7 linked regions of the Callithrix jacchus genome follow. The protein of the gene in region 6 interacts with the protein of the main gene of each other region in a pairwise test. Links are inferred from orthologs where the notes say so. Each region holds a gene or a part of one and is shown on either strand. Other genes may lie near its edges. The genes, in order: PKP2, SPG7, CCDC60, C21H21orf58, PPP1R18, MTUS2 and FAM124B.

Region 1 (4,348 bases), on a different chromosome or scaffold from region 6:
CCACTTAGCCATATGGCCTGCTCACAAAGGATGGCAGAACTATCACCACTCTGTTGTCCAGGCTTTCAGTCCTTTGATTTCCTCTTCATGGGCACTCATGTAAAAAGGGAAGCTATATACCTGTGCATTAAGTGTGTGTCTAAGCATTCAGTGTGTGTCTAAGGGCAGAAGAGTGTGGGTAGGAAACCAGAGACGAGGGAACCTGCGTTCCCCAAACACTCCAGACTTGAATAAGTGGGGTTTTGCAGCAATTGAGTGATTTGAGGGAAAGTGAACATAAAAACCCAAGCCATCAAAGGGAAGATTATCTTACTTAATACCAGTGATACATGTTTTTCTTTCTGCCTCTTAAGTCCAAAGAGGAAAATCAAGACAAGTGGCTTTGGTTGTAAACTTTAAGGTCAAGGATCCTTTCTGTTGAGCTTAGCTCTCAGGTTCTCAGTAGTCAACTGTGTGTGAAACATAATTAATAGCACGATAAATACAAGTTGTGGAAGATTCGACTAAAAGTTGGAGGCCCTCTCCATGGATATCTCTGCAAAGAGCCTGTCATAAAGAGGACTTACTCAACGTTAGCAGGCCTATTTAAAAAAGCATCGTCCATTAAAATTCATTTCTTCTCCAGAGCCTCTTGTTGGAGTTTCTCTGTGTGGGTGTGTTCGTAAGAGAGGAATGGGTGAACCAGTTACTGGGTACAATTTGTGTATCTTCAAGAGAAAACAGCTCTCAATGAGGAAGAACATATGTTTCTGGGACTGCATCTGTGCAAAAAGTACATCGTCCTGAAGTTGTACTAAGAAAAAAAAAACAAACCACACTCTTAAAAAGTCTTTTATTTCACTCATGTCATCTTCTTGGCACATTTCCCCTCATATTGCCCTTTCCGCCTGAGCAAATAGCCCTTTCTTACCCTCAGGTCCAGCAAAACCAGGAAACGTGTCCAACAGTCCGACAAAGCCTGACTAACCAGACATACTACTCACTCGTGGATCCTGAAGACAAGCCTCAGTCCAAGAACAGCAGTAACTCGAGGGCGCACCTGCCTGCAAGGCAGCCCCTCCCTGTATCAAGCGGAAATTCATCCTGCCCAGCGCCGGGCGTGGGCAGAGCGGAGCGCAATCCCAGCAGGCTGTATCCGCCGGGACTTCGACCACGTGCGCGACCCCGGGCGAACCGCGCCCCTCTCCCCACCTCCCCGCGGGCGGGCGGGCTGGTCCAACTCACCAGGTGTCCGCGCGCGCGCAGCGGGGCCCGCCCCCGCCCCGCCCCGCCCCCAGGCCCGAGTGCGCGTGCCCGGCCGGAGCCGCGCCCCCCTCCCCAGGGAAGCCCGGGCGTTCGGCCCTCGAGGACGAGCTCCCCCAAGCCCGGGCCTCTCACCGGCGCGGGGGCGGGCCAGGGGCGGGGCCGGGGCCGGGCGGGGCGGGGCGGGGCTCGCGCCAGAGCCCCCAGCTCCGCCGCTGCTTCGCCCGCGAGTCCTGAGGCAGTCGAGCGGCTTGGTCGCCCCCACCGACCCCATGGCAGCCCCCGGCGCCCCAGCTGAGTACGGCTACATCCGGACCGTACTGGGCCAGCAGATCCTGGGACAACTGGACAGCTCCAGCCTGGCGCTGCCCTCCGAGGCCAAGCTGAAGCTGGCGGGGAGCAACTGCCGCGGCGGCCAGACGGTCAAGAGCCTGCGGATCCAGGAGCAGGTGCAGCAGACCCTCGCCCGGAAGGGCCGCAGCTCTGTGGGCAACGGTGAGTGGAGCCCGCGGCTCCCTGGCGCCGCCTCCTGGCCCGCACCCCGTTACCCCATCCTATCCTGCCCTCACCCCACTTGCTGGGAGTGCAGAACCTGGTGTTCTGCCCACCTGTTGCTCGCCGCCCTCGGTATGACGGGTTTGCTTGTGGAAAGCACTCTTTTCCATAACCTGTTACTTAGCTTTGTCATATAGGTACATATGTATGTTAAATATTGTACATATCTGTCAATGTTAAAGAACTCACTTGGAAATTTAACCCCTTTCTTTTTCTACTCCGCCCGTCCGCACCCCTCGCTGGTGCGGACTGAATTTGGAGGTTCAGGGAGTCGAGCAACACCTTGAGATGCTATGCAGAATTTTGGTATGTACTATCTTTTTCTGGGAGAAGGAGCCCTTCTTCACTTTTATTAGATTCTTTAAATAGTTAATGACCCCCATAAATATCTTGAAAAAGAAAACCCGACAGCACAGGTGCTCCTACAACCTATAAATTGGGATTGTGCTGTTTTGTGCAAGTACTTCGGGGCGCTCCAAGTGTAGGAGGCGAGTGGTGGATCTAAGGAGTGAAAAAAGTGGCTAGGAGGCTTTGGTCCTGGGAACAAACACGCCCAGGAGAAAGGGGACTTTGGCCCTGCCGGCAACACCCCTGCCCTCCTGGCTGCGCTTCCCACCCCCACCAATGCGGGCGTGGTGCAAGGCTGACCCTCCAAAAAATTAAACATGGAGGTGAAAGGGGTGTAAGCACACACACGCATACTATGTCTGTGATCGATAGACGGGGGAGGTGGAAGGGCAAGAAGATGGCAAGCCACTTGTGAAAATTAGGGAACATGATGTATCCTTTTCTCCTCTGCTAAAGTCAGGTGATCGATCAACTCAGTAACTCTTGTTGTGCGTGTGAGTTTGCATTATAAAAGCACTATGTTGGCTTACTATAGCAAAAAGTTTTAAAGAAGAGGAAAGAAATTGAGTAATTAAGTTGGAATATCTGTTTCCTCCATGTTCAACTGTTTCTGTATGAAGTAACTTGTGCATTGGTGAATGTAGGCTAACCCATTCTAATTTCTATTAGGAAAATAGAAAAATCCTAACAGGCCAGACCACAGTTTTAGAACAGTAGAGTCTGGGAGGCTATACTGTTTATATAAACGAATCCTAAAGAATCAGGTAGTCAATGATTATATATTAGAAAGGTATAGAGAAGATGTTCAAAGATTGTAGTTAATATAACTGAGTGCCTACTATGTGCCAAGAACTGGGCAATGTAGTTTGCATTCATTTTATATGTGTGTGTGTGTGTGTGTGTGTATTAATTTTATATATATATATATACAGTTTGTATTTAAAAACTTGTAATGAGCTAGGTATTTCAATCCTCATTTTACAGATAAGGAAACTAAGCAGTTAAGTAACACTTAAGTTCTCATAGATGGTAACTGGCAGAGTTGGTATTTAAACTCCCAAACGTGAATTTTAAACCTCTTAGCAGTTTTATCATTAAGTTTTAAAATTATTAATACAAAATGGGATTTATTAGATGCTAAGCCTCTCGGTGGCCCCCTTCCATTTTTCTCTAAATAAAATTTAGGATGTTCTGAAAAGCTGGGGAGGTCTAGACAACACAGAACTGCCACAATACCTGGGGGGGAAAGACCTTAAATTTAGACTTAGGTGTCTGACCAAAGACTACGGGATGACTGAGGCCAATCTTTGACCCGTGGAGCCATTACACCCATTCAAACTAAAACCAAACCAGCTTCCTCCACGTGAGGAACACAGGAGGCATGTTAGTTATTCTTTCTTATCCTTTGAGAATGGCCAGCCAGGAAGAACAAGCAGATACAACTATTCCTAAATGGAGGGAATGGAGCCATGAACAGAAGAAAAGGGAATGTTGCTGGGCATCTATATACTTTGTGCCTATTCCAGAATCTTTATTATATCCTTAAAACAATTGTGTGAGATAGGTATGAGAATCCATCTCACATATGAAGTATTTGTCTGTCAGCATTTGTTGGAAGTGTAATCCCAGCTCCATACATAATCTGTTCTCTCTACAGTATAATGCATCAGTTGTGTGGTGAATTCAGCAAGCATCAGATGAGCATGTTCTTCATACAGGGTACTGTGCAGGTGCTGAATTAAACACAAAGACTCTGCTTGCTTTAAGCAAGAAGTTGAAAGTCTAAGGAAGGAGGCCAACCTCTAGAAAAATACTTTACCAAATAAAAAGTAGTAAGTGACCCAAAAGAATAGCTAGTGTATTATGGAGTTTAGAAGTATAAATTGTTTGGACGTGGTAGTTCGTGTCTGTAATCCCAGCACGTTGAGAGGCTAAGGTGGGTGGATCATCTAAGGTCGGGAGTTCAAGACCAGCCTGACCAACATGGAGAAACCCTATCTCTACTCGGAATACAAAATTAACCAGGCATAGTGGTGCATGCCTGTAATCTCAGCTACTCAGGAGGCTGAGGCAGGAGAATCTCACTTGAACCTGGGAGGCAGAGATTGCAGTAAGCAGAGATTATGCCATTGCAATCCAGCATGGACAAAACTCCTTCTCAAAACAAAAAACAAAAAGCTCATGCCTGTAATCCCAGCACTTT
Region 2 (4,162 bases), on a different chromosome or scaffold from region 6:
AGTCCCGTCTCTGAAACACAACAAAAAAGAAAACAGTATCTGCCTTGTCACTTCTGTATTTTTTTTTGTTCAGAGACAGGGTCTCACTCTGTCACCCAGGCTGGAGTACAGTAGCAGCATCAGCCTTGAACTCCTAGGCTCAGGCCATCTTCCCGCCTCAGCCTCCCAAGTAGTGTAGTGGGATACAGGCCTGCAATGTCATGCTCAGCTGCTTCTTTCAACAGATACATACCTAAAAGGTGCCAGAGTCTGATCGGATTCTGAAGTAAATGTTGTTTCAATAAAAGTCCATTGATCCCTTCAAAGGTAGGGGTTAGCAGTCGCAACTGTAAGCTCTGAAAAAAAAAATCCCAATACCAGAGGTCACACCAACATAACAAAATACCAAAGCAACACAGACTAAAAATCTTTTTTTTTAAGAGATGGGGTTTCACCATGTTGGCCAGACTGGTCTCGAACTTCTGACCTCAGGTGATCCACCTGCCTCAGCCTCCCAAAGTGCTGGGATTAGTCATGAGCCACGGCGCCCAGCCTAAAAATCACTTTTAAAAGTTCAAACATATAATTATTTGTAATATCTACACTGCCCTGAAAAATGAGGTAACAGTCTACGCAGTATTTCAAAGCTTTAAGGTAACATCAAAATGTCGAAAGCAAGCAAACAGGTTAAAACACAGTAGTTGGCCAGGAGAGATTGCTCCCGCCTGTAATACCAGAACTTTGGGAGGCCTAGATGACTGGATCACCTGAGGTCAGGAGTTCAAGACCAGCCTGGCCATGATGGTGAAACCTGAGATCTACTAAAAACACAAAAATTAGCCAGGTGTGGTGGGAGACGCCTGTAATCTCGGCTACTCAGGAAGCTGAGGCAGGAGAATTGCTTGAACCTGGAAGGGGAGGTTGCAGTGAGCCTAGATGGCGCCACTGCACTGCAGCCTGGGAGACAAATGGAGACTCCGTCTCAAAAAAACAAAAACGGCGCCGGACACGGCAGCTCAAGCCTGTAATCCCAGCACTTTGGGAGGCCGAGGCGGGTGGATCACGAGGTCAAGGGATCCAGACCATCCTGGGTCAACATAGTGAAACCCTGTCTCTACTAAAAATACAAAAAATTAGCTGGGCATGGTGGCGCGTGCCTGTAATCCCAGCTACTCAGGAGGCTGAGGCAGGAGAATTGCCTGAACCCAGGAGGCGGAGGTTGCGGTGAGCCGAGATCGCGCCATTGCACTCCAGCCTGGGTAACGAGCGAAAGTCCGTCTCACACACACACACACAAAAAACCACCATAGTAGTGGCCAGGCACAGTGGCGCAGGTCTGTGGGAGGCCGAGTTGGGAGCACTGCTTGAGCTCAAGACTTCAAGACCAGCCTGGGCAACTCAAGAAAACAAAACACAGCAGGGTACTGGCTGCTATCGCATGGCCTGAAGCTTCTGCCGGGAGAAGGGACCATCCCAGCTCTCCAAAGGCCACAGTGGCTGCGAAGACCCTGTGCTCCTGCTGTCACCAGAGAGTGGCTCCATGCAGAACATTTCCAGGTACTAAACCAGTTAACAAGTATGTATTTTCAACGACCTCCTTTCAAGATAAACATTTTCCCATTTAAATGTGTTTTAAGTTCTAAAGATCAGCGGCAAAGCTAAGCAACATTGGGAGACACCATCTTTTCAAAAAAAAAAAAAAAATACAGAAGTTAGAGACGTGCGGTGGCCCATGCCTCGCTAAGGCCTTTCACGTCAGGAGGATGAGGTAGGAGAATCACTGGAGTCCAGAAGGTCGAGGCCACAGTGAACCGACATCCCATCACTGCATTCCAGCCTGGGCGACAGAGCCAGACTCTGTCTCAAAAATAACTAAATAAACAGCAACCGAAAATGTGTGGGCTAAGTAAGCTCCCAGGAGAAGGATAGGAGAAAAAGCATCAGGCCAAAAGATCAAGACTCAGAGTCTGGTTTTCGGGAGGAGATGGTATACTTCGCAGCACTTGAAACAAGGCTTCCCCACAGGGGGTGCTCAATGACTTTGTGTCAGTATGGTTCCAAACTGCAACAGCAAAATGCAACTACAGCGTTTCTGCGCACACAGAAACTTTCTGGGCCGGCCACTCGGCATCGAGCACCATAACTGGAAGGCGCTGGGATTCCTGGGGGGGACTGAATCCAGCCACAGGTGCGGACTGTAAATTATTGATCCGCGGGAAACTGTTACCGGATTCCACTTTAAAAGACGAGGGAGGGCCAGGAGCCGCGGCTCACGCCTGTAATCCCATCACTTTGGGAAGCCAAGGCAGGCGGATCACTTGAGGTCAGGAGTTCGAGATCAGTCTTGGCTAACATGGTGAAACTCCGTCTCTACTAAAAATGCAAAAAAAGCGCGTCTACTACCAGCTCCTCCAGAGGCTGAGAAGAATCGCTTTGAACCCGGAAGGCGGAGGTTGCAGTGAGATCAGGCCACTGCACTGCAGCCAGAACAAACAAACAACAAAAACCCCAGAGAGAGGGGGGAAAATACCCAAACACAACAGAAGGGGTGGGAAAGCCCACGCCGAGGGCTGCGCGGATCCCAGTCCTGCCCCTTCCCAACCCGTCCAGTGCCCACGCTCCAGGTCCGCTCCCGGCTCCCCTCCAGACGCCTTCCCGACGCCGACGGGGCGCAGCTGGAGGACTCGCGGGCCCACTGGCGCAGGCTCCCCCGCCACAGGGGCCAGGCGGCCTCTGACACCGACCCTCCCGGCGCGGCGCTACCGAGCAGATCGTCGCCAAAAGGGCGGGGCGGGAGGTGGGGCCCGGACGCCGCGAAGATTTACCTGTACGGCTTGGCCTCCAGCCTCAGGGAGGCCCCACGGAGGCCTGCTAGCCACGTACGGCCGCCCCCTCCCGGGCCCCGCGGGGAACCCTGGACTCCAGGCCGGGCCTGGGCCCCACAGCCGCCCAGGACCCGGACCAGGGCACCGGCGAAGGGCGCGGAGCAGCAGCAGCACAGCCGCCATGCTGGCCTGAAGCCGCGCCTGCGCGAGCCGCGGGCCACCACGGGGCGCCTGCGCGGTGTGGGCGGGGCCTACCGGACGCCTGCGCTGTGTGGGCGGGGCCTACCGGGCGCCTGCGCACCGGGTGCCGCCTGCCCCACCCGCCGTGCTAGCCGGGCTCTCTCGCAGCCGCCTGAGGCCCTGCAGCAGCGGGGCCGGTTTAGTGGGGGGCCGCGGCTGCCGTGTTGGTTTTTGACGCCCGCCTTGTATGTTCCGAGCCTGGCGGGTGAATAACTGGCCGGGTCCTGGCTGCGTGGTCGCGCTCCGCCCGCGCCGAGGGGCCGCCCTCGCAGGCAGCCTGGTCCCCCGCAGGGCTCCGTCACAGGCGCGGGCGGACGTCGCGGGTCCGAATCACCCCTTCGGGCTGAGAAGCGCAGGAACGGGGCGGGTTTCCCGCTTCTTGAGCAGCCGGAGGACGAGAACCGGAGCTGCAGCCGATCCAGGAAGGGCAGCCCGGACGAGGCGGGTCCTGAGGCGGGGAGCGCGCGGCGGGGCGCGGCCTGGCTGGAGTGCGCGGAGCTCTGAGCGGAGCGCGGGCCCCGTCCGCTCCGACCGACTCTCCTCGGAGGCGCTTCGGGCCCCCGTCGTGCCCCGGGAGTCCGGTCAGGGTTTGTCCCGGGCGCTGCGCGAGCCCAGCGTGGGAAGCGGGGAGGCGCTGCCCGGAAGCCGGGAAGAAGGCTCTGTTCTCTTCGGGGTCCGCACTCCAGGCCCGGGCAGGGTCCCTCGTGGGCTCCCAGGTCCCCCGCCCCGTCGTCCGTCCGCCTGAGGTCCCGAGCTGACGCCGGGAGCTGCCTGGCCGTGGAGTAGGAACAGCGGAGACTAGCGCGGTCTGTTGCACGTGGAGGAGACTCACGCACCTTCACGCTTGTTTCCCGAACCCGGGACGGCGCGTGCGCGCGGCAGCCGGCATCCGAGTGCCCGGCCCGCGTCCGACACAGCCGGGCAGGAACCCGGCTCTTCTGTAAACGGGGAAACAGGTTCACACGCATTCAGAGTAACTAGCCCAGGACCACAGCTCCGAAGTCAGTGCACAGTTTCGAGGCCGGTCTCGCATCTGGGCCTGCGCTCCCTCCACCGCCGCGGACTAGACGGCAAAGCCAGCGGGCTGCGGTTCTCCTCCTCCTCCTCCTCGGCCCCTA
Region 3 (4,218 bases), on a different chromosome or scaffold from region 6:
CATCATCATGACTGCAATTACTCTGCATGACTGTAGAGATCAAAATCCTGATCTCTACATGTTTGCTTGAGGCTTGTCACTTTCTAGTAACCCTAGATTAGGTTAATCATTGCTTTACTATAGCTTTAAAACCTTGAAATTCCTAAAGGCATGATCTTTTGAATGTGAGCTAGGGACCCCCTGGGGTCTTCATTATTTTCTAGAAAGTAGAGAGGGGTGCAGAAAGATTTCAATGAGGCTTTTGGGCTGGAAGTCTTGGTCTATCCAACAGTTCCCCAGAAGCCTTCTTCCCATCCCTTGACCTCCCTGAGTCCCACTACTCTCCTCCGAAGAAAGAGATGATCATTTCAAGTTCCGCATCTTCCTCCACTCTCTACATCTCTCTGTGTATGCCAGGATGAAAAACCTATTGCATTTATTTGAGTACATGGCTTGTTTCTTCCCCAAATCCAACATACAGACACACACACACACATGCACGCACGCACACACACACACACACACACACACTAATCTAAATTAGCTATCCCTTTTCTTTGCTCCCACAACACCCTCTGATACTTCCTCAACACACCATTAATTAACCTGCATTATAACAATGTTTCTTATCTCTTTTATTCCCAGTCCCAAGCATACACACTATAGATTGTGAGATTCAAAGGCAGGTCTCATTTTTAACTAGAGCAAGTGTTTAGCACCTAACGGAGGTTCAATAAATCTTTACTAAATAAATGAAATGACAATATAACTAAAACCTAACGTGTGCTTCCCATATGTCAGAACTGTGCTCATAGCGTTTGGCATACAGTTACTCATTTAATGCTCACAGCAATCCCATGAGGAAACTATGATATCCCCATTTTGCAGATGGCAACACTGAAGCTCAACTTGCCCAAGGCCACAGGGCTGCTAAGAGGCAGATCCAAACCCAGGGTGATTCTGTCTGCTGCTCCTGCTTTGATGCTCACCCTTGCTATTGAAGCGTCCATTTCCTTCTTCATTTTATCCCTCATTCATTCCCCCACTGCTATGCTGGGAAGTTCAGTCCCAGCAGGGTTTACTCGGGATTGAACATCCTTCTGGGTAGTATTTTGAGATGAAAGGAGATGGAAAAAGGCTGTATCATGCAGTCATGCAGAGTGGTCTCCCTAAGAGTGCTGAGTAATGAGGAGTACACAGAGATAGGTTAAACTTTAGAGAAGAGCAGCTCGGGAACGTTTTGTACCACATGGAGAGCATTGGCAATTTATTTATTTATTTATTTTTGAAATGGAGTTTGGCATTGTCGCCCAGGCTGGAGTGCAGTGGCGCGATCTTGGCTCACTGAAAGCTCCGCTTTCTGGGTTCAAGCAATTCTTCTGCCTCAGCCTCCTGAGTAGCTGGTATTACAGGCACACACCACCACACCCAGCTAATTTTTTTTATTTTTAGTAGAGATGGGGTTTCACTATGTTGGCCAGGCTGGCCTCAAACTCCTGACCTCATGATCCGCCTGCCTCAGCCTCCCAAAGTGCTGGGATTACAGGTGTGAGCCACCACATCTAGCCACTAGTGAGTTTTAAGCTCTCCGTCATGGACTGACCACCCGCCAGGCCCTCCTTCCTGGGGCATGGCCGTGAACCACAAGTGTGCCCTGTGGATGCACCAGGGTGGACCAGCATTGCTGACCTTGGCCAATCCACGCAAAGTGGGGTGTGAGGGTACAATAACAAGTGCACACTTAGAGTTGTGCTTACCCAGTTATGATCATTTAAAAACAGGAACCATTGACTCCAGTCACTCAGTACATATCGATTTTTCTTTGCTTTTCAAATCAACAACACTGTTCCATGTCCCATAAACACATTATCCAGCGTTAACATCACAATGGACAATTTTCATAAATTATTCCATTTAGTCCTCAGACTGCTCCTAAATTGATGTTCCTGTTCTAATTTCATAGACACAAGGAAATAAAACCTCAGAGACGCTAAGCAATTAACCTGTCTAAAGTCACACAGCTGGTGCGTGGCAAACCTAGCCTTCAAACCCCAAAAGTTGACACTCTAGAGCCTCTTCATAGAGAGAGGGGATGTGCCTGTTCCCCGAGACCAACAGATCTCTGAGAGTAAGTTTCTGCGGACGGCAAACCTTCAATTTATCTTAATTTTTTCCTGATGTTCTACAGTGTCACTGCTGATTTATTCCATCATTCTGGAATTACTGGCTAATAGGATGGCCCAGCTCACCGCTCTGGTTTGCGTTTTCATTCTTTACGAGAAACCAACCATTGATAGCAACGGGGATGTGTCTCGACAATTTAATTACTCCATGACTCCCCTCTCTCCCCTCTCTTCCTTGTTGGTATCGAGGCTAATTCCTATTTCACTTGCTCTGAAAGACATGATTGGTTTCCGCAGAGAGGGAAGACTTACCTGCTTTAGGTTCTCCGAGGCATAAAAGGGCCGGACAGCCCCCGCGTTGGGGGAACTCTGAAGCTTTTTGGTGGCTGGAAACTTGGTCATCTTAAAAATCGTTCAGGCTTTTTAGCCTGCGTCTCCAAGGCAAGGGTTTTTCTAGAATCTTCTACTTCAGCAGCCACTGCTATGAGAGGTTCCGGCAACTTCTCCTTGATCCCCAGGTCCCAATTACACGAATTCCAAAACGGTTTCCATCTGAGAAGTAATGAGAAAGCACCTGGGTCTCCCACAGACGGGATAAGGAAGTCCGGTTAGAGCAGAATAAGGCGAGCCTGGGATTACTTTTTGAAAGATTATAAACTTCTGTAAGCTTCCTCGTCTTCGGAAGGGGTATCTTCCTTTTCTATAAGCAAAATAAATATGAACTAAAAAACATAAAATTCCAGCGACAAAGTGTGCGGGAGAGTCCCATGGAGGGTCTCCCAGATCCCCATCCTCCAAGAGCGCCCGAGAACTAAGGCGGCCCTAAAGAGGGGCTTATCGCTCTGTGGGGAAGGTAGGCAACTGCTAACCCCCGCGGGGGGCGGGGGAGAGACACGTGGTTGCTTGGCAACGGGACGCCAAGGAGAGCTTCCTCATTGGCTGGAATTGGTGGGGGCGTGGTCGTGGGGGGTCGTGAACTCTCCCAGGTTGCTGGGACGCCGCCGGCTCTCAGCTGCCTGATGAGGCCCGATGCCCCCGAGCCAGCCGCATTCTCTGGACCAACTGGTTTCTCTTTTCAGGCCTGAGGACCATACACTTTCTCTCTGACTACAAGCGACTCCTTGCTTTCAAACTCTGCTCTGTCCTACTGCTAACCCACTAGTGATTTTTGTGCCGTGGGGTGGGTGGCCTGTAATCCTGTAATTCTTAACCCTAGATGCCTATTTCTCCCGTTTTTCCACCTGACAAACTCCTATTCATCCTTCAGAACCCCTTCATTTTATAAAAAGAAATACTGGTATTTCAGCCGGTGGAGTCCGAGGCGGGCGGATCACCTGAGGCCAGGTGTTCGAGACCAGCCTGGGCAACATGGCGAAACCCCGTCTCTACTAAAAATACACAAAAATTAGCCAGGCATGGTGGTGTGTGTCTGTAATCCCAACTACTCGAGAGGCTGAGGCAGAATCGCTTGAACCCAGGAGGCGGAGGTTGCTGTGAGCCGAAATCGCGCCATTGCACTCCAGCCTGGTCAACAAGAGCGAAACTCCATCTCAAACCACCACCACCACCACCACCATCACCACAAAAGAGACTCGCCTTCAAGAATCTCACGATGTATATTGTGTATGTTTGGGCTGGAGAACAAAGGATAAGAAATACTGTTATAAAGCAGGGTGATTTATCATAGGGTATTATCATAGTAGGGTAGTATCATAGGGTAATGTGGGAGCAAAGAAAAGGGACTGCTATATATAGATATATGCACATGCATATACATATACACACAAATGTGAATATACATATATACACATGTATATGTGTGTATAGATGTATTTGTATGTGGAGGCATGTGTACACATGACATTTATTAAGGGCTTAGGATGTGCTAGACACTGTTCTAAGTGTTTTACACATATTGACTCAATCCATACAGCACCTCTTTAAAGAAGGTGTTTTATTACCCCATTTTACAGACTAAGCAACTGAGGCATAGAGACATTAAATGACATGTTTAAAGTCACACAAGTGCTGCAGCTGAGATTCAAAGCCAGGGTGGTTTGAGTCTAAAGACCAAGCTTGTAAGCACTTAGATGCCTAACTTTGCTGAGTTTGGCTT
Region 4 (4,444 bases), on a different chromosome or scaffold from region 6:
GTTTCAGGCCAACTCGCTGCAAAGATCTTCCCGCTAGTAAAGAGGCCCCACCTCCTGGGCATCTCTGCCACTCAGAGGCATCTTTGGTGAGTGCCATGGGAGCAAACCTCCTGGCATCCTACCATTCCAGGTCCTCCTACTCAACATTTCCAGCCCTGATGGAAACTTGCACTCAGGAGGGTCTCTAAGCTAACAGTGGCCTTGCTAGGGCCCGGCCCTGAGAGTCCAGAAAGGTCTTCCCCTCACCCTCGACCTGAGCAGCCGTCTCCGCCACAGTGAGCCCTGCCGGCTTTGCTCAGCGGTGTAGGGCTCACCTGGAGTCTCTGCAGAAGCTCCCTCCTTCTCTTCAGAGCAGTCTGCAGGGCATCATCCAGCTGGTCCTCATTTCCTGGAGGGAAACACCTGCTTGCTCACGGAAGAACACACACAGGCTGTTGCTGCAAGCACTCGGACAGCACTGCACCCGTGTGGAATGCGCCGCCTCACCCACTCTCCTGGGATAGGGGCGGGCTGGGAGGCTCCTGGGCTCAGGTTATCCCAGAGAAAGAGGGACGCGTGCTGGGTAAGAGGGCAAGGGCAGCATCAGGGCAGGGGCAACCCAGGGCACTCAAGTGTCAGAGTCTGGCCTGTGGTCACCTCATTCCTGGAAGGGAGGCTGAAGTCACATGGCCAGATTCCTCCCGAGTACCTTTCGTACAGAGTCCCTGGCCTCCAGGAGGCCAAGGCTTCTACGGGGCTGGCTGCAGCCTGACCTTGGCTACCTGGAGCCACCCTCTGGCCCCAAGCAGTCCAGAGTCTGGTCTGACCCCCAAGTGTCTGCAAGTCCCTCTAGTCTGCCCCTCAGTCTGGGCAAGGTGGCTCCTGCCTGTGATCTCAACACTGGAAGGCTGAGCTGGGAGGACTGACCTCAGGAGGTCGAGGGTGCAGTGAGCTATGAGCATGCCACACCACACTCCAGCCTGGGCAACAGAGCGAGACCAACCCTGTCTCAGCACACTGGCCAGGTGCAGTGACTCACACCTGTAATCTCAGCACTTTGGGAGGCTGAGGTGAGCGGATCACTTCAGATCAGGAGTTTGAGTCCAGCCTGGCCAACATGGCAAAACCTCGTCTCTACTAAAAATACAAAAGTGAGCCGGGCAGGAGAATTGTTTGAACCTGAGAGACAGAGGTTGCAGTGAGTCGAGATCACACCACTGCACTCCAGCCTGGGTGACAGAGCATGTCACCTTCTCAAAAAAACAAAAAAGTCAGCCGGGCACGGTGGCTCACACCTATAATCCCAGCACTTTGGGCATGGTGGCGCGCACCTGTAGTCCCAGCTAATCGGGACGCTGAGGCAGGAGAATTGCTCGAACCCAGGAGGTGGAGGTTGCGGTGAGACGAGATCACACTACTGCACTCTAGCCTGGGTGACAGAGCGCGTCTCCTTCTCAAAAACACAAAAAAGTCAGCCGGGCGCGGTGGCTCAAGCCTGTAATCCCAGCACTTTGGGAGGCCGAGGCGGGTGGATCATGAGGTCAAGAGATCGAGACCATCCTGGTCAACATGGTGAAACCCCGTCTCTACTAAAAATACAAAAATTAGCTGGGCATGATGGTGCGCGTCTGTAATCCCAGCTACTCAGGAGGCTGAGGCAGGAGAATTGCTTGAACCCAGGAGGCGGAGGTTGCGGTGAGCCGAGATGGCGCCATTGCACTCCAGCCTGGGTAACAAGAGAGAAACTCCGTCTCAAAAAAACACAAAAAAACAAAAAAGTCTATACGCCTTGGGGGATGGTCTGCACTCAAGAGAAGGCTCCAGAAGGCGAGGGGCAGGGTCCTGCCCCTCACCCAGCATCACACTGGAGCGGGGCTCCTGGAAACCCCAGTCAGTCTTTGGGGCTCCCCAAACCCTCTGCCCCAGGCACTGGTTGCCATTCTGTCACCTCTCACTGGCTGTGCAGACCTGGTTTGGGACTTTCTCTCTATTTGAGACTCTGAGCTCTGCCCTTGGCAGCTGCCCCTACAGGTCACAGGCTGCCCCATGTTCAAAGAACAGGAAATGTTCCTTTGGCCTCCTCACCTCCTCCCCAGAGGTCTCCAGGCAGCAGTGAGGACAGCAACCCCACCCCAACCAACGGGCAAGCTCAGCCTCTGGAACCAGAGCATCTGGGTCTGACCCGGTGTGACCACTTACAGGCTGAGCACAGGCTGAGTGACCCCAGACAGCTCAGCCAACCTCTCTCTGCCTCCATTTTCTCATCTGCAAAGTGGGGCCCCTTTTGGGGTCTGCAGACTAAAGGTGATAAGGCATGGGGATGTCCTCAAGTCTGAATGTAAAGGAAATGAATTAAGGACAGTCTCACTATACCAGGAGTGGGGTGATTCCCGGAGCTGCTGTGCCCACCTCCCTGGAGAAGGTATACTTGCGCCCGCCTGTGCTGGTTCCAAGCAGCCCAGCGCTCTCACCTGGCTCGAGGTGGAGGCCCTCAGGCCCCCCTTCCGTATTCTCCCGTTCTTGCTCCAGCTTCTGTGAGGAAAAGAGACCGTGACAGGGACACTGGCTCCAGGCAAAGGCCCTGTGTGCTCCAGGAATGACTAAGAGGCTTTCTGAGTGAATAGAACTGTACGTCAGGAGTAACCCAGCCCCTCCAGGGCCAAAGGTGGGAGGTGAGCCCCTCCGAGGATCTCCTCTGTGAGCTGCCTCTGTAAGCCTGACCTCCAGCAAATGCCCCATCTGCAGGTCTAAGGATAGATGCTGTGAGTGGCCCCTTCAGGCAGATTTCTGAAGAGCAACCCCGGGAGAGACCTGGTGAGGCCTCCAGGCTTCCCAGCCAGGGCATGCCTGGATCACCCCCACCTGGACCCTGAGCTGAGCAGCTAGCTGCTGGATATGTCCTAGGGTGAGTCCCTCCCACGGTGGCAGTGGGCCAGGATGCAGGGTGTGGAGCGCAGGGCTGGCAAAAGGCAGACAGCAGGTCCCTCAGGCAGCAGGAGGGGGAACAATGCAGGCAGGGGGTGCAGAGGAGCCCCCAGCACCAAGGCTCCCCTGGACCCTGTGCTCAGTGGGCCAGGAGGACAGGCAGGCTGTTCATGTGCCACCCAGTCTGAGGATGGGTCCCCTGCAGGGCTGTCTCAGAGTCCCTCCAATGCTGCAGCCTGGAGTTGTTAAAAACAGGAGCATCCCAGGCTCTGCTTTACCTGTCTCAAGAGCTTCAGCGTCAGCCGCGTCACTTGCTCTGCTGCTGTTGAGTCCAGCATGGTGGGAGCTACAGGATGACAGTACCAGGCAGGGAAGGCCGCAGCCCGCCTCCCTCCCTGGTTCTGCTACTCGCAGGAGATAACTGCTCAGCAGGAGCCCAAGCACCAGTGTCACCTGCAGGGCTGGCCCAACCTCCTGGAAACCAGCCCCAGGGGAGAGAAGAGCTGCAGCCTCCCTGGACTGCAGTGCCCCACAAGCCAGGGCTGGGCTCCACATGGCAGTTGCCAGGCTGCCGGACGCAGGGAGGCCCCAGGTTGCCAGGTTTCCACTTCGCGTCCTTAGGCTGCTACCTGCAAACACTCATCTCCAGGTGTGGCTGGCTGGGCTTCGTGGGAAGGCAAAAAAGTTGGCAGCAGCTGAGGCAGAGGGGCAGAGCTCTCAGACCTAGGGGAAGGGGACAGCCTTGACCCCCATGCACCAGCAGCCTCAAGACGCAGCCCAGAAGAGCCTGTGTGTCAGGGGAGGGCGCCCCACCTCTGTGCACTGCCTCTAGGACATGGCGGCTCCTCCCCTCCTAGGGACCCTCCAAGCTAGGAGGGAGGGCAGTTCCTCAACTGGGAGGACAGGGTGGGGAGACTGCCTACCAAGTTGTTCAAGAAATTCCAGCAGCAAAAGGGGCGGGACAGAGAAGTGGTTGTGACCTGCAGAGGGGCTGGGCTACAGCAGGACCAGGCAAGGAGCCAGGTGTGCAGGAAGCTTCGCAAAGGGCAGACACAAGTCAGGAGTGTGGTCTGCACTTGGCTGGGCATTAAACTCCACATTGACGAGTTAGTCAATCCCACTAAGCAAGCAGACTGACATCTGGGGGATGTCAGCAGCAGGGGGCCAGACCTGTGGACCAGAGGGTCGGAGGTTAGCACCCTCCTCAGTGCAGCTGACCCAGAAACTTGCCTCAGTGGCCAAAATTGCCCTCAGTTTTGTAAATGGCCATGCCCATCAGTATCTATGCTTGTGTGCCTGTCCTGTCTCCCAACCCACATCCATGTGGGGCGCCTGGAGCTGGACCAGTGAGTGATAGGGTGAAGGCCGGCCAGCCCATAGGAGGTCATGCTCACAGAGGAAGTTCATGGAAGAGATCCTCAGAGGGGCTCACCTCCCACCTGTTGGCCCTGGAGAGGCTAGGTTACCCTGTTATAGAGTTCAATTCACCTTATCCTGGAGGCCATCTAACCAGAAATGAAGGCAGCATGAAACCAGGCCT
Region 5 (3,735 bases), on a different chromosome or scaffold from region 6:
TAAGAGGGGACAGAGGAGAGAATTCCACGCAGACACAGCAAGTAAGTGTGGCTTGTAAACCTGGGACTTTGGCAGGTGGAGCTGGGAGCTGGTGGAATTTGTAAACCAGGCTGTGGTCAAGACAGGAGGCAGGAACTGTAAACAAAGGGGCAGTGACTTAGGAAATAAAGGAGATGTGTCTATAAATGGAATGGGGTCTGGGCCTCCCAGAGAAACGAGTGCTTAAATCCTGAGATCCCCCACGGGATGGTGGGGAGGAAGGCTATGGGAAGAGCGTACCCTGCCACGGGGGCGGGGGCAGGTGCTCCATCTCCACCCTCCGGGAGTTCCGTGCTCCTTCTCAGGACTTGGTGCTCACTCTTGGATCACCTAGGATGCACCAGCACGTTTAACCCCACCCACACTAGGGATTTCGGATTAGGGTAGAAATTGGGCAATTGGCTCTGCCCCCAGAAACAGGGTGGGGAAAGCAAGTTAGAAGACGGTGGTTGCCCTTCCCTGCCAGGCTCATTATTAGGGTCTGTCTGCCCTGAATCTTCCAGGCTCCAGGATCTTCAGTTATAGGAAGGAGGGACGTATATCCCTATATTGGAAGATGGTCACCGCCGGCAGGACTCATCTATGGGAGAGGAGGCAATAATGACAGAGAATGAGTGAGAGCCTCTACTTCCTGCCCTCCTTTCCCCCCCCCGCCCCCGCACACAAATTGAAGGGCAGTTGGCATGCAGGAAGTCTTATAATAGCTTTCATATCTAAAGCACCTTCCCACCAATAACATCATCCATCTCTCATTTAGCTTGAACTCTGTGCCAGGCATCCTTCCAACTGTTTAATCTTACCATAACTCCAGGAAAGAGTAAGTAATTTGATATCCAGCTGTGGCTCTCGGCGCTTCACAAAAATTACTTAATCTAATCCCAGCACTTTGGGAGGCTGAGGCAGGAGGATCACTTGAGGTCAGGAGTACAAGACCAGCCCAGCCAACATGGCGAAATCCCATCTCCACTAAAAATACAATAATTAGCCAGATGTGATGGTACATGCCTGTAATCCCAGCTACTCTGGAGGCTGAGGAATGAGAATCACTTGAACTTGAGAGGCAGAGGTTGCAGTGAGTCGAGATTGTGTCACTGGATTCCAGTCTGGATGACAGAGGAAGAGTCTGTCTCAAATAAATAAATAAATAACTTTCTTTTCAACAACTCCAGGAAGTAGCTTTTTTTTTTTTTTTTTTTTTTGTGATGGAGTCTCTGTCTGTTGCCCAGGCAGGAGTGTACTGGCACCATCTCAGCTCAGTGCAACCTCTGCTTTCCAGGTTCAAGGGATTCTCCTGCCTTGGTCTCCCAAGTAACAGGGATTACAGGTGTCCACCTCCATGCCTGGCTAAGTTTTGTATTTTTATTTATTTAATTAATTATTTTTTTTAAAGACAGGGTTTCACCATGTTGGCTGGGCTGGGCTTGAACTCCTAACCTCAGGTGATCCACCCACCTCGGCCTCCCAAAGTGCTGAGATTATAGGCGTGAGCCGCCACACCTGGCCTATTTAATTTATTTTATTTTATTTTTTTGAGATGGGGTTTCACCATGTTGGCCAGGCTTGTGTCGAACTCCTGACCTCAGGTGATCCACCCGCCTTGGCCTCCCAAAGTACTAGGATTGTAAGCATGAGCCACCATGCCTGGCCAATTTTTGTATTTTTAGTAGAGACAGGGTTTCACCATGTTGGCCAGGCTGCTCTTGAACTTCCGACCTTGAGTGATCCACCTGCCTTGGCCTCCCAAAGTGCTGGGATTACAGGTGTAAGCCACTGTGCCAGGCCTGTTTATTTCTTTTGAGACAGGGTCTTCCTCTGTTGCCCAGGTTGGAGTGCAGTGGTGGTACACTGCAGTCAGCTCATTGCAGCCTCCAACTCCTGAAGTCAAGCGATCCTCCCACCTCAGCCTCCTGAGTAGCTGGAACCACAACTGTGTACCACCACACCTGACTAATTTTTGTATTTTTTTGTAGAGACAGGATTTTGCCATGTTGCCTAGGCTGATCTTGAACTCCTAGGCTCAAGCGATCCACCCATCTTGGCCTCCTGAAGTGCTGGAATTACAGGCACGAGCCACAGGAGGTAGTTATCATTAACTTCATTTCATAAATAATACACTAAAGCCAGAGATCAGACGGTTTCTCTGAGATTACACAATTAGGAGACAAGCTGAAATTCCAACTCAGGCCTGTTCACCCACCCTGTGGTTTTAACCAGATTACAGGACTTGGGAAGTGTTCTGGTTTTGAAACCTGAAGACTCAGTGTGTATTTCATTTCCTGGGACCTCAGTTTGCTCATCTGTTAAAGGAGCAGGTTGGACCAGAGGACCTGCCAAGCCCCTTCCAAGCGCCTACATGAAGTCCCTCCCTTCTCTTCCCTCCTGGACCACAGCGCCCAATCTGACAGCAGGGGGCGCCCTCGGGCCGGCGGAGCCTCTGCTTACCCACAATCAGGGCCTTGGTGCGAAGCCCGCCCTGGAGCTCTGGCTGCAGTAGCAGCAGCTCTTCCTCATCCTCTTCATCGTCGGGTTGGGTTGCTGGGGGGTTGGGGGAACTGGGGACCTCAGGCTCCGGGCCCAACTCCTCCAGTACCGAACTCTCGGAGGGGTATTGGTACGTGGTCTCCAGGGCTGTCTCGCTGAAGGAGATCTTAAGCTGAAGGAGGGAAAAAAGGGGGCAGGAGACAAGGTCAGTGAGGGAGAAACCCGTGGGGGGTTGCAGGGGAATCCGGGGTTGAGGGGGAGTCTACAAGGGGGCAGGTGGGACACGTGGAACATGGTGTTGGGGCTGGACTTAAGCACCCCACTCACTGTCCCCATCCACTCTGGGATCCAGTTTTCCTTTCCATACTGACTCTCCAATCCTAGAGCTTCCCTCTTCGATCATAGCATTTCAAAACATCAGACTTTGCCCTGTACATTGGCAGGGGCTTGGGAGGCAGAGTGAATAATATAGGACCAAGGTCCCTGCTCCTTCGACTGTGGGAGGCAGAGGGGTAAAAAGAAATTAAAATACATGGAAACAAGTCTTATGATCAGAACTGAGTCTTTGGGCACCTTGGGGCAGTGGAGTAGATTTCCCGGAGGAGCCAGCAGGCTGGCCAGTGGGGAAGGAACTAGCTGGGGAGTGAGTCTCAGCCAAAAGTAAGGTTTTCATATCCACAGCCCCTTGCTGTCCTATGCAAAACTCAGGACCCTGGGCACCTGTTCCCTCCCACTCCCCTTATTCCTCTCTCCTATCCATAGCAAAGGGGGTCTAGGGCCTGGGAAGAGATGGGAGACGAACAGAAAGGCCCAGAGGAACCAAGAGACTTCTGCAACACACGGGAAAGGTGAGCCTCTGAAACCCTGAAATGCTGGGGGAGATGACAATGGCAGAAAGGAAAGTCCACACAGACCTGGGGTGGGGGTCGACAGTGTGTCCGAAGGGACAGGTACAGAGACAGAAGACCAGATAGGGCACAGAAAACCCTTGGTAATCACACTGTCCCAAGAGCAGGAGAGTCCCAGCTGTTCTGACTGCCTTTCTACCCTTCCCCTTTGCCCTCTTAAGAAGCTCAGGGGGAAGGGGCAGGGTGGGATTAAGTCTAGGAGCCAAAGGGATTAGGGAGACAGCAGGAGGATTCCATGTGAACTACTTGGAAAGGTCCAAATGATCTTCTCAGGCCTTCCCTGGCATCTGTTGGGAAGACTTGGGGC
Region 6 (3,735 bases):
TGGTCCTAGACGAGCCCCTGGTTTGGTTATACCAGATGCAAGGAACATTTCACAAATAGGGAACTTTAAAAATTGGATGAGATGATCAGTTCCTGCCTGAGATGGCACATTAAAGACATAAAACGCTTAGATGATATAATACCTGGGCTGTGTGTGTGTGTGCATACAGACACTGCCTTACAGAGAAAAAGTTCTGGAAAGTATAAGCACTGGTAGGAATATGATGTTATAATCTGCTTTTCTTCGGTTTATCTTATTTCATAGTTTCCCAAAGTACATATATTATTTTTGGTAGTATCAAAAGTGTATTTTTAAAGTAATAATAATAAAGGGAAAAAATAAGAATCTGAGATCCTGGGGCCAACTTCCAGATCAAGATGGGCTGCCCTTGGAAGGAGGCTTCCCTGCCACTCCCTTTGCACACCTTTCTGGGACTCTAGCCCTGGCCAGGGAGGGTGGGGGTGATGGGGGGGTGGGGTGGATGCTTGTGCCCCAGCGTAGGGGGTGAAATCCTGCGTGTTCTGTGTCCCCTAGGGGGTGACTTTTGCCAGCTCTGCAGGAGCCAGGCTGGTGGGCTGAGCTGGGTGAGTGTCAGTGAGAGCAGGGACGCTGTTCTGGGCTGAATGTTTGTGTCCCCCAAAATTCCTGTGCTGAAACCTAACCCCCAAGGAGGCGGAGCTTTGGGGAGGGGATCAGATCCAGAAGGTGAGCCCCTGTGAATGGGATTAATACCCTTATAAAAAGGGCCCCAGGAAGATCCCTGGCCCCTTCTGCCTTGTGGGGACTCGAAGCACTGGGCAGGGGCTCCTTAGCACCATCTCCGGCATCTGTAAAGCGGCTCATGGCAGCAGCTGCTCCACAGGCAGCTGTCGGAGTTAGGAGCAGGCTCACTCAGGGAAAGTGCTCTGTGCAGTGCCTGGGCACTGGAGATGCTGTATCCTGCTGGGTCACCACATGTCCCCAAGACAGGGTGTAGAGACAGTGCAATTGCCAGAAAACCAGGGTGAAGCAGAAAGAGGCCGCCTGTCAGGAAGGTTTCAGAGTTGGACAAGGTGAGGCCACCTCTAAGATTTCTTATCAGAGCTCCTGGCTTCCCAGGAAAGGCCAGCCATGGGATTTTCTGCTTAGGTATAAGCAATGGGCAGGTAAGGGACACACCTGGCCGAACACCATCAGCAATGACATCAGGAACGACAGGAGGAGCGTCATGGAGGTTAGTCACTCCCATGCAAACAGACCAACTCACCAGCTTTTCCAGCTCAAGAATCTTCTTTTCCTGCTCGTGTATTTGCTGATTCTTCATCTCTAATACCTGCTTCAGACTCTTCATGTCTTCTTCCAAGTGCTGATAAGGAGCCAGTGCAATCTACAGGGGCAGAGAGCCATAAAATGTTGACCGGGGCTCCCGGCAAAACCCAGTATTAACCAATATCACTAATCCAGCTAAATCCAGCCTCTGGACCAACGCCCCAATAGCAATTGCACAGCAAAGACAGAGGATGCTCGCAGTCTTCCCTGATGAAGGGGTCCTGCTGCTTCCCCCTGGGAACCCATTCTGTGCGGGAGCAGGTGACACACAGCCATCGTCCACTGGGAAGTTTGATTCCGGAAATGCTGGATGCTGCCAGCCCATGCCCAGCAGGGAACTCATGGGTCGAAAGAGTAAACCCAACACTAGCCTTTAACATTCACCTGGATGACTGGTAGCTGGGGCTCTTCTGGGTCCCACCTATACCCATAAAGAGCCCATGCACAGGAAATGAGCAGAGTGGCTTAAGAAGCAGAAAAGCCATTTTGGAAAAAGACACATTACAGTAGTGCTGCTGGATATAGCAAATTAAAACATGGTATGTCCTGTTAAATTCAAATTTCAGATAAAGCACGTTTTAAAAAAGTGAGCACAAGTATTGCTTGGGACATACTTAGACTCAAAAATTTATTTACCTGTAATTCAAATTTAACTGCGTGTCTTGTATCTTATTTGGCAACCCTACGTTAGAGAGAAGGAGTTTTGCCAGATTTCCTGAAAAAAATTCCCCTCAACCTATTAACTCCTGCTGTAGCCAAGGCTGCCCGTGTCAGCCTAAAAAGCTGGGGGAGAATGAGATGGAAGGGGTGGTCGGGCAAGGGTCGGGGGTTGCCGGACCATGCTGATCACAGGGGCCCCGGAACCTCGGCTGGGCAATGCTGTGGAATTTGGCAAAAATAACACGTAGCTGGAGAAATCCACAGCTGCTGTCTGACTCTGGGGAGATGTGCTGACAGAAATTGTTTACAAATCCAGGGGAGGTCGTGACCAGCTGTCACTTCAGCAAGGGATTCACAGAGAGGCCTTGTCTTGGGACAAGACTGCTGAGGGAGTCCCGTGGCCTGGGGCTGGAAGCCTGGAATCCCGAAACTACCTCCAGCTGCTCCTCCGTGCTCTTCCTCAAGGCCTCTTCGAAGCGGCGTGCTCTGTCCCGCAGAGACTGGCTCTGGAAGGTCAGCGTGTCCACCTGGTCCTGGAGTAATGACATGAGGAGTCCAGCTGGGGGCGCTACAGCCTGCCGCTGCCACAGCTGGGGCAGCTTCAATCAGCAGGCCACCACTTTCTTCAGCATCCTTAGAGTGTCTCCCTTGGGACTGAAGAAAGAGGTGCCCAAGGGGACCCCCAAAATCACATGATGGGCATGGTTTCCCCCAACGCCTACCCGTGGCTTGCCCTTCTTGGCTCTTTGTCAGGAAGAAACCACAAAAACACTGTGAACCGGGGGGCATCTCACAACATCTGATCCTATAGAAGCAGACAATCCTCAGGGAGAGGCGTCTGGGCCAGGAGGCACCCAGCCCTGGCTTTGGGAAGGACCACAGTGAAGGTACTTCAAAGAATCATTCTCATTTATGAAGCTCAATCCAGAACCCTTCCAACCCTCCTTCACTTCTTTCTCTGCCTTGGGATCCCTCTCACATCACCAAACCTTCTGGCCACCGAGCCCTGCTATCCTGCCTCCTGAATGTCCCTAGAAGCCACAGACTCCCCTGAGCTCAGCCACTCGGCTGGCTCCATCCTGACACGATTCTTCTTTCTCCTGAAGTATCACTCCTTTACCCTCACGCTGCAGTCAAGCCCTCTTTCTAATGTGCAAAGCGGAACCTGTCCTTCCCCGACCTCCTACCCCACTGCCCTCAAGGTGCCGTGTACACTCCCTAACGCAGCACCCTCCCGCCTCGCTGCCTCCCTCTCCTCTCACGCCAGCTCTCCTGCTGGCAGTGCCCTCCTCCAGCCAGCTGCCTCTCACTCCTGCTTCATTCTGGCTCCCACGCAGCCTTCCTGGCCTGACAGCTGGGTTTCATGTCCCTGATAGGAGCTCACATGGAAGCTGAGTCCACACAGTCTCCTCCTCCCTGCTGAGACCCGCTCCCTGGCCAGACTGGCACTCCCAGCCCTCTGCCTTCCCATGCCCGTCAGCTAGGGGGGCAGCTGGCGGCTCTCCACCTGCAGGTTGAAGGAAAGCAGGAGTGTCTATGGGGACACCATGCCCCTTCCCCAGCTCCCAGGGCAGATGCACCTGCGCTGACTCTGTCCCACTCAGCCTGCCCATGACTCCCCACACCACAGGCTGGCAAAGGACCACTGATGCCCAAGAAGCGCTTCACCCTTCGTGTCTCACTCATGCAGACCAGTCCAAAGCTCTGTTACAGCACCATTTCTGTAACATCAAAACACGGAAACTAGGGTGTCCCGTGAATTCTTCC
Region 7 (4,409 bases), on a different chromosome or scaffold from region 6:
ATCTCGTAGTCTCTTATTACTTTATCCAGATAGGCCTTAAGGAGTTTCTGACCATTTCCTTTTTTTATTTTAGACAGAGTTTTGCTCGTTTCCCATGCTGGAATGCAATGGTGCGATCTTGGCTCACTGCAATCTCCACCTCCCGGGTTCAAGCAATTCTCCTGCATCAGCCTCCCAAGTAGCTGGGATTACAGACACACACCACCTCATCCAGCTAATTTTTTGTATTTTTAGTAGAGCTGGGGTTTCACCATGTTGGCCAGGCTTGTCTTTAACTCCTGATCTCAGGTGATCCACCCACCTCGACCTCTTAAAGGGCTGGGATTACAGGTGTGAGCCACCACACCTGGCCTCTGACCATTTCTTAAGGAGAGAAGCCACAGGATATTTTGCCGTGAACATCACATTCATCCCTCTGCCCACACATTTACACACATCCACGGGACTGCAGTGGCTGGCCACATGAACTTTGAAGATTAATAGACACTTCCTATCTTGGGCAAATAACTGACCTCCTGTACAGCTCAATTTTCTTAACTCCAAAATGGGAAAAATAGTAACTCCATAGGTTGTTATAAGTGTTTATTAAATAAAATTATCAATTTAAAATCTTAAGTATAGGGCATAATATGAACAATAGCTCCAATTGAGTTCTGGGCACTGTCTTAATTATGCAGTTTGTAAGTGTCAGGTCATTTACTGTAAATCAATATGGGAGAGGAAGATGGTAATTCTGCCTTGCCTTTATTGTGCTGATGAAGAAACCTAGGCCCTTGGTCATACAGCTACTAAGTGGTCAGGCTCATATACCATGAAAGGCAACGCATGACAGCTGTCATGATTAAATACACACATGCTGCATTAGGTTTTCAAGGATGGTTACAAAGGAAGGCTTTAATTAAAAATTTTTTTTTTCAGAAAGGGTTCTATCTAATTTGGTGCGTGGTAAAATTTCACAGTAATGCAAGATGCTTAAAAATTAAGTCAATAGCACTGCTAATTTAACATCCCTAAACAAGCTCAGTCAACATAGCGAGACCCCATCTATAGAAATAAAATAAATTAGCCGGACATGGCAGCATGTGCCTGTAGTCCCAGCTAGTCAGGAGGCTAAGGCAGGAGGATCGCTTGAATCCAGAAGGTGGAGATCTCAGAAAGCTGTGATGGCACCACTGCACTCCAGTCTGGGCAACAGAGGAAGACTCCCATCTCTTAAAAATTAAAAAATGTACAATCAGGAGAAGGGAATTAAAAAATTAAAAAAATTAAACCATCTCTAAACATAAGTATGACTTCAAATTCCTTAGTCAGATGGGAAGAATTTATGACATTCCTGAGCTCAAAGGGTAAGCAAAGGATATGGGTACAGTTGATTGGCATTTACACGGCAAGCCTGAGAAAGGAGGCTGGTTCTTTATAAAGATTCTGATCTTTATAGTCGCATCCTGTCTGATTCTACTATAAAGTACTTGTGTCAGCTGCCAATTCCTGGAATCTGAACTTTCTTATCTGTCAGATGAGATTTTACGAGATCGGTGACTCTCCACCCTGTTACAGGTTATAATCATCCAAGTAGCTGTAAAAAAGTTTCCTAGGCCTGGATGCTCCCAGAGATTCCAATCAAACTGGCCTGGGGTGGGAATTTCTGAAAGCCCCTGAAAAACGTGGAAGTGCAACCGACTCTGGGAAGCACTAACTTAGGCCCTTTCTGATGTAAAATGACACAGCTCCATGAGCCGCTACACGATCACAAAGACAAAACAGAAATACCTGAAGCAGAATCTTGTTGCCATCGTAGTCCTGAGTCTGCCACCTGGTACTGCTGATGGGAATGCATGGGTTGGGTAGCAGAGGCACTAACTGGCCAATCTCTCGAACTTTAAACTGCAGCACCGAAGAATCTTTGGGGTCCACTGACATTCCTGGGGGCAGCTGCTTCAGGGAGAGCTGCAGAGCAAAGCTGTTGGTGGCATAGAGCACGAAGAAACAAAAATTGCTCTTTTGCAAGGTGGCTTCTCTCTGCAGGATCATCTCATAGAGTCTGATGGCATCCTCATAGTTATCAAAGCTGCAATAGAGCGTCACCCTTAGGATCTCAGAGCCACAGTGCACCTGCCTCACCCCCCAGATGGGCATCTGGCTGTCCAGGCTGTAGAACTCCTGATTGGCAAGAAGGTAGGGACACGGCCTTCCCCGAGTGTCCTGGGTGGGGTAGTACTGCCATGGCGAATGTTGGAGAGAGTCCAGGATGTGAAACAGCCGATCCTCTCCCAGGCTTTTGGGCAGAAAGAGCAAGACGGACATCCCTGGGAACCGGGACCGCTTGGAGTGGGACTTTTCACAGTATTTCACAGGACTGGCCCGTTCAGACACCTGAAAGAGCCGGACCTCTGGGCAAATGCAATCCAGGAGCTGGTCCAGAGTCGTCTGCAGAAGCGAACCGTGCCCAGAGTTGGCAAGAAGATGGACAGTCATGGCCAGAGGCCCCTGTGTCTCATCCATGGAGGAACTGCCTGGCGATGACAAAGATGGCATGCGAAGAAGTTAAACAGGCCACTGTTTAACTTCTGAAATGAATGAAGGAGCAGCCCAGCCTTCAGCCCACCCGAAAACCTTCAGCTGCAGCGGCTACTTCTGAGCAGAGCTCTTAACCAGACTGACATGTGCTCCTGGCCACCCACGGACTTGCCATAAGAGCAGCTCACACAAGCTCAAGTTCAGCAGCCTCCGCTCCACGCGGCAGCAGTGGGATCACATCATCCAGCTTGTGCATAAAGTAACCGCTTGTGTTTGGCTTTTCAGGCATTCCCCAGGGTTTCAGTGTGACCTCAAAACCTATAATCCTGAGAAACACCCAAGTGGGCGGCTCTTACAGACAGTGAGTAAAGGAAATGACCCGGTAAAAAGGAACAGGAGTTGGCTCTGTCAGGCTGATAGCAATCTGTTGAGTTGAAAAGACAGCCATTTTATCAGCACAACGGGCTCTCACTTCCTACTTAGGGTTTACAGTAGCCTGTGCAGCCAGTCTGAATACAATGATCTCTTGAAAACAATGCTCAAAACTTGACCTCTTGCCAAGGTTTTTTTCCTTTGTCTCTTTATTTCATTTGGTTTCTGAACATTTTATGCTAGGGCATGAAGAGAAGGTATTTTATCTCAATAATTTTGACTTCACTGAAACTTATTTGCTCTACTAACAATTCTGAGTGTACGAAAAAGACATTGAGAAAATAAGTCTTCCTTTATTCATGCAAAAAAAATTTTTTTTTTTTTTTGAGACAGAGTTTTGCTCTTGTTGCCCAGGCTGGAGTGAAATGGCATGATCTTGGCTCACCACAACCTCTGGCTCCCGGGTACAAGGGATTCTCCTGCCTCAGCCTCCTGAGCAGCTGGGATTACAGGCATGCACCACCACCAGGTAATTTTGTATTTTTAGTAGAGACAAGGTTTCCCCATGTTGGCCAGGCTGGTCTTGAACTCCTGACCTCAGGTGATCTGCCCACCCCGGCCTCCCAAAGTGCTGGGATTATAGGCGTGAGCCACTGCACCCAGCTATTCATGTAAATTGTTTAGAAAGAGTGAGAGCTTTCCAATAATTGCTCATGTAATTGTAATAAATACTTAAGAATTATAATTTTTAGTGTCTATTGAGGATCTACTATGTACCAGTCATAAACTGTTCTAATTCTTAATGTAAACTTTTTTTTGGAGAAGGAGTCTCACTCTATCACCTAAACTGGAGTGCAGTGGCATGATCTTGGCTCACTGCAACCTCCAACTCGCAGGTTCAAGAGATCCTCTTGCCTCAGCCTCCCCAGTAACTGGGACTACAGATGTGCCATCACAACTGGCTAATTTTTGGTATTTTTAGTAGAGAATGGGTTTTGCCATGTTGGCCGGACTGGTCTCAAACTCCTGACCTCAAGGTGATCTGCCCGCCTTGGTCTCCCAAAGTGCTATGATTACAGGCGTGAGTCACCACACCCAGCCATATTAGTCCATATTTATATCGCTATAAGACATACCTAAGACTGGGTAATTTATAAAGAAAAAGAGATTTAATGGACTCACAGTTCCACGTGGCTGGGATTACAGGCATGAGTCACTGAGCCTAGCCCTTAATGTAAATTAATTTAATCTTGCAATAAACCTATGAAGAAGAGATTACTAGCCCCAAATTATTGATGAAGAAACTGGAGCATAGAAAGGCTAAGTAACTTGCCCAAGTTCTCACAGCTAAGAAGTAGCTGAGGGAAGATTTGAACCCAGAAATTTGCTGCACTGCCTCTCTGGGGCCTTGAAATCCCAGCCTGGGTTTTCTTCCTTCTTGTAAGGAAAAGATACAAAAGCAAGTTCTGGTTAAGGACCTAGATTTGGAGACTGGAGCTGTTGAACCATAAATGGAATAA

The links.
Region 1: the proteins of MTUS2 (region 6) and PKP2 interact in binary tests that used the Homo sapiens proteins (3 or more experiments, as listed by UniProt). The two-hybrid records come from large-scale screens. The link is inferred for Callithrix jacchus from reciprocal best matches to the Homo sapiens genes MTUS2 and PKP2.
Region 2: the proteins of MTUS2 (region 6) and SPG7 interact in binary tests that used the Homo sapiens proteins (3 or more experiments, as listed by UniProt). The two-hybrid records come from large-scale screens. The link is inferred for Callithrix jacchus from reciprocal best matches to the Homo sapiens genes MTUS2 and SPG7.
Region 3: the proteins of MTUS2 (region 6) and CCDC60 interact in binary tests that used the Homo sapiens proteins (3 or more experiments, as listed by UniProt). The two-hybrid records come from large-scale screens. The link is inferred for Callithrix jacchus from reciprocal best matches to the Homo sapiens genes MTUS2 and CCDC60.
Region 4: the proteins of MTUS2 (region 6) and C21H21orf58 interact in a two-hybrid assay, tested with the Homo sapiens proteins (3 studies listed by BioGRID and IntAct). The two-hybrid records come from large-scale screens. The link is inferred for Callithrix jacchus from reciprocal best matches to the Homo sapiens genes MTUS2 and C21orf58.
Region 5: the proteins of MTUS2 (region 6) and PPP1R18 interact in binary tests that used the Homo sapiens proteins (3 or more experiments, as listed by UniProt). The two-hybrid records come from large-scale screens. The link is inferred for Callithrix jacchus from reciprocal best matches to the Homo sapiens genes MTUS2 and PPP1R18.
Region 7: the proteins of MTUS2 (region 6) and FAM124B interact in binary tests that used the Homo sapiens proteins (3 or more experiments, as listed by UniProt). The link is inferred for Callithrix jacchus from reciprocal best matches to the Homo sapiens genes MTUS2 and FAM124B.

Annotation. Positions count from the first base shown.
Region 1 is NC_133510.1:38,556,000-38,560,347, forward strand, and holds the start of PKP2 (plakophilin-2), read left to right. Parts: upstream 1-1,468; 5' UTR 1,469-1,514; coding exon 1,515-1,737; exon of another isoform or gene 1,738-2,090; coding exon of another isoform or gene 2,091-2,103; intron 2,104-4,348. UniProt on the Homo sapiens protein: A component of desmosome cell-cell junctions which are required for positive regulation of cellular adhesion.
Region 2 is NC_133521.1:47,155,952-47,160,113, reverse strand, and holds the start of SPG7 (mitochondrial inner membrane m-AAA protease component paraplegin), read right to left. Parts: upstream 3,008-4,162; 5' UTR 2,988-3,007; coding exon 2,805-2,987; exon of another isoform or gene 2,383-2,804; intron 336-2,382; coding exon 233-335; intron 1-232. UniProt on the Homo sapiens protein: Catalytic component of the m-AAA protease, a protease that plays a key role in proteostasis of inner mitochondrial membrane proteins, and which is essential for axonal and neuron development.
Region 3 is NC_133510.1:122,438,221-122,442,438, reverse strand, and holds the start of CCDC60 (coiled-coil domain-containing protein 60), read right to left. Parts: upstream 2,998-4,218; 5' UTR 2,742-2,997; exon of another isoform or gene 2,655-2,741; 5' UTR 2,505-2,654; coding exon 2,415-2,504; intron 1-2,414.
Region 4 is NC_133522.1:51,899,816-51,904,259, forward strand, and holds the start of C21H21orf58 (uncharacterized protein C21orf58 homolog), read right to left. Parts: upstream 2,851-4,444; 5' UTR 2,719-2,850; coding exon 2,451-2,718; intron 389-2,450; coding exon 315-388; intron 1-314.
Region 5 is NC_133505.1:35,475,670-35,479,404, forward strand, and holds part of PPP1R18 (phostensin), read right to left. Parts: intron 2,693-3,735; coding exon 2,482-2,692; intron 620-2,481; coding exon 600-619; 3' UTR 1-599.
Region 6 is NC_133506.1:148,703,542-148,707,276, reverse strand, and holds part of MTUS2 (microtubule-associated tumor suppressor candidate 2), read right to left. Parts: intron 2,502-3,735; coding exon 2,403-2,501; intron 1,367-2,402; coding exon 1,247-1,366; intron 1-1,246. UniProt on the Homo sapiens protein: Binds microtubules. Together with MAPRE1 may target the microtubule depolymerase KIF2C to the plus-end of microtubules. May regulate the dynamics of microtubules at their growing distal tip.
Region 7 is NC_133507.1:146,128,781-146,133,189, forward strand, and holds the start of FAM124B (protein FAM124B), read right to left. Parts: upstream 2,812-4,409; 5' UTR 2,536-2,811; coding exon 1,771-2,535; intron 1-1,770.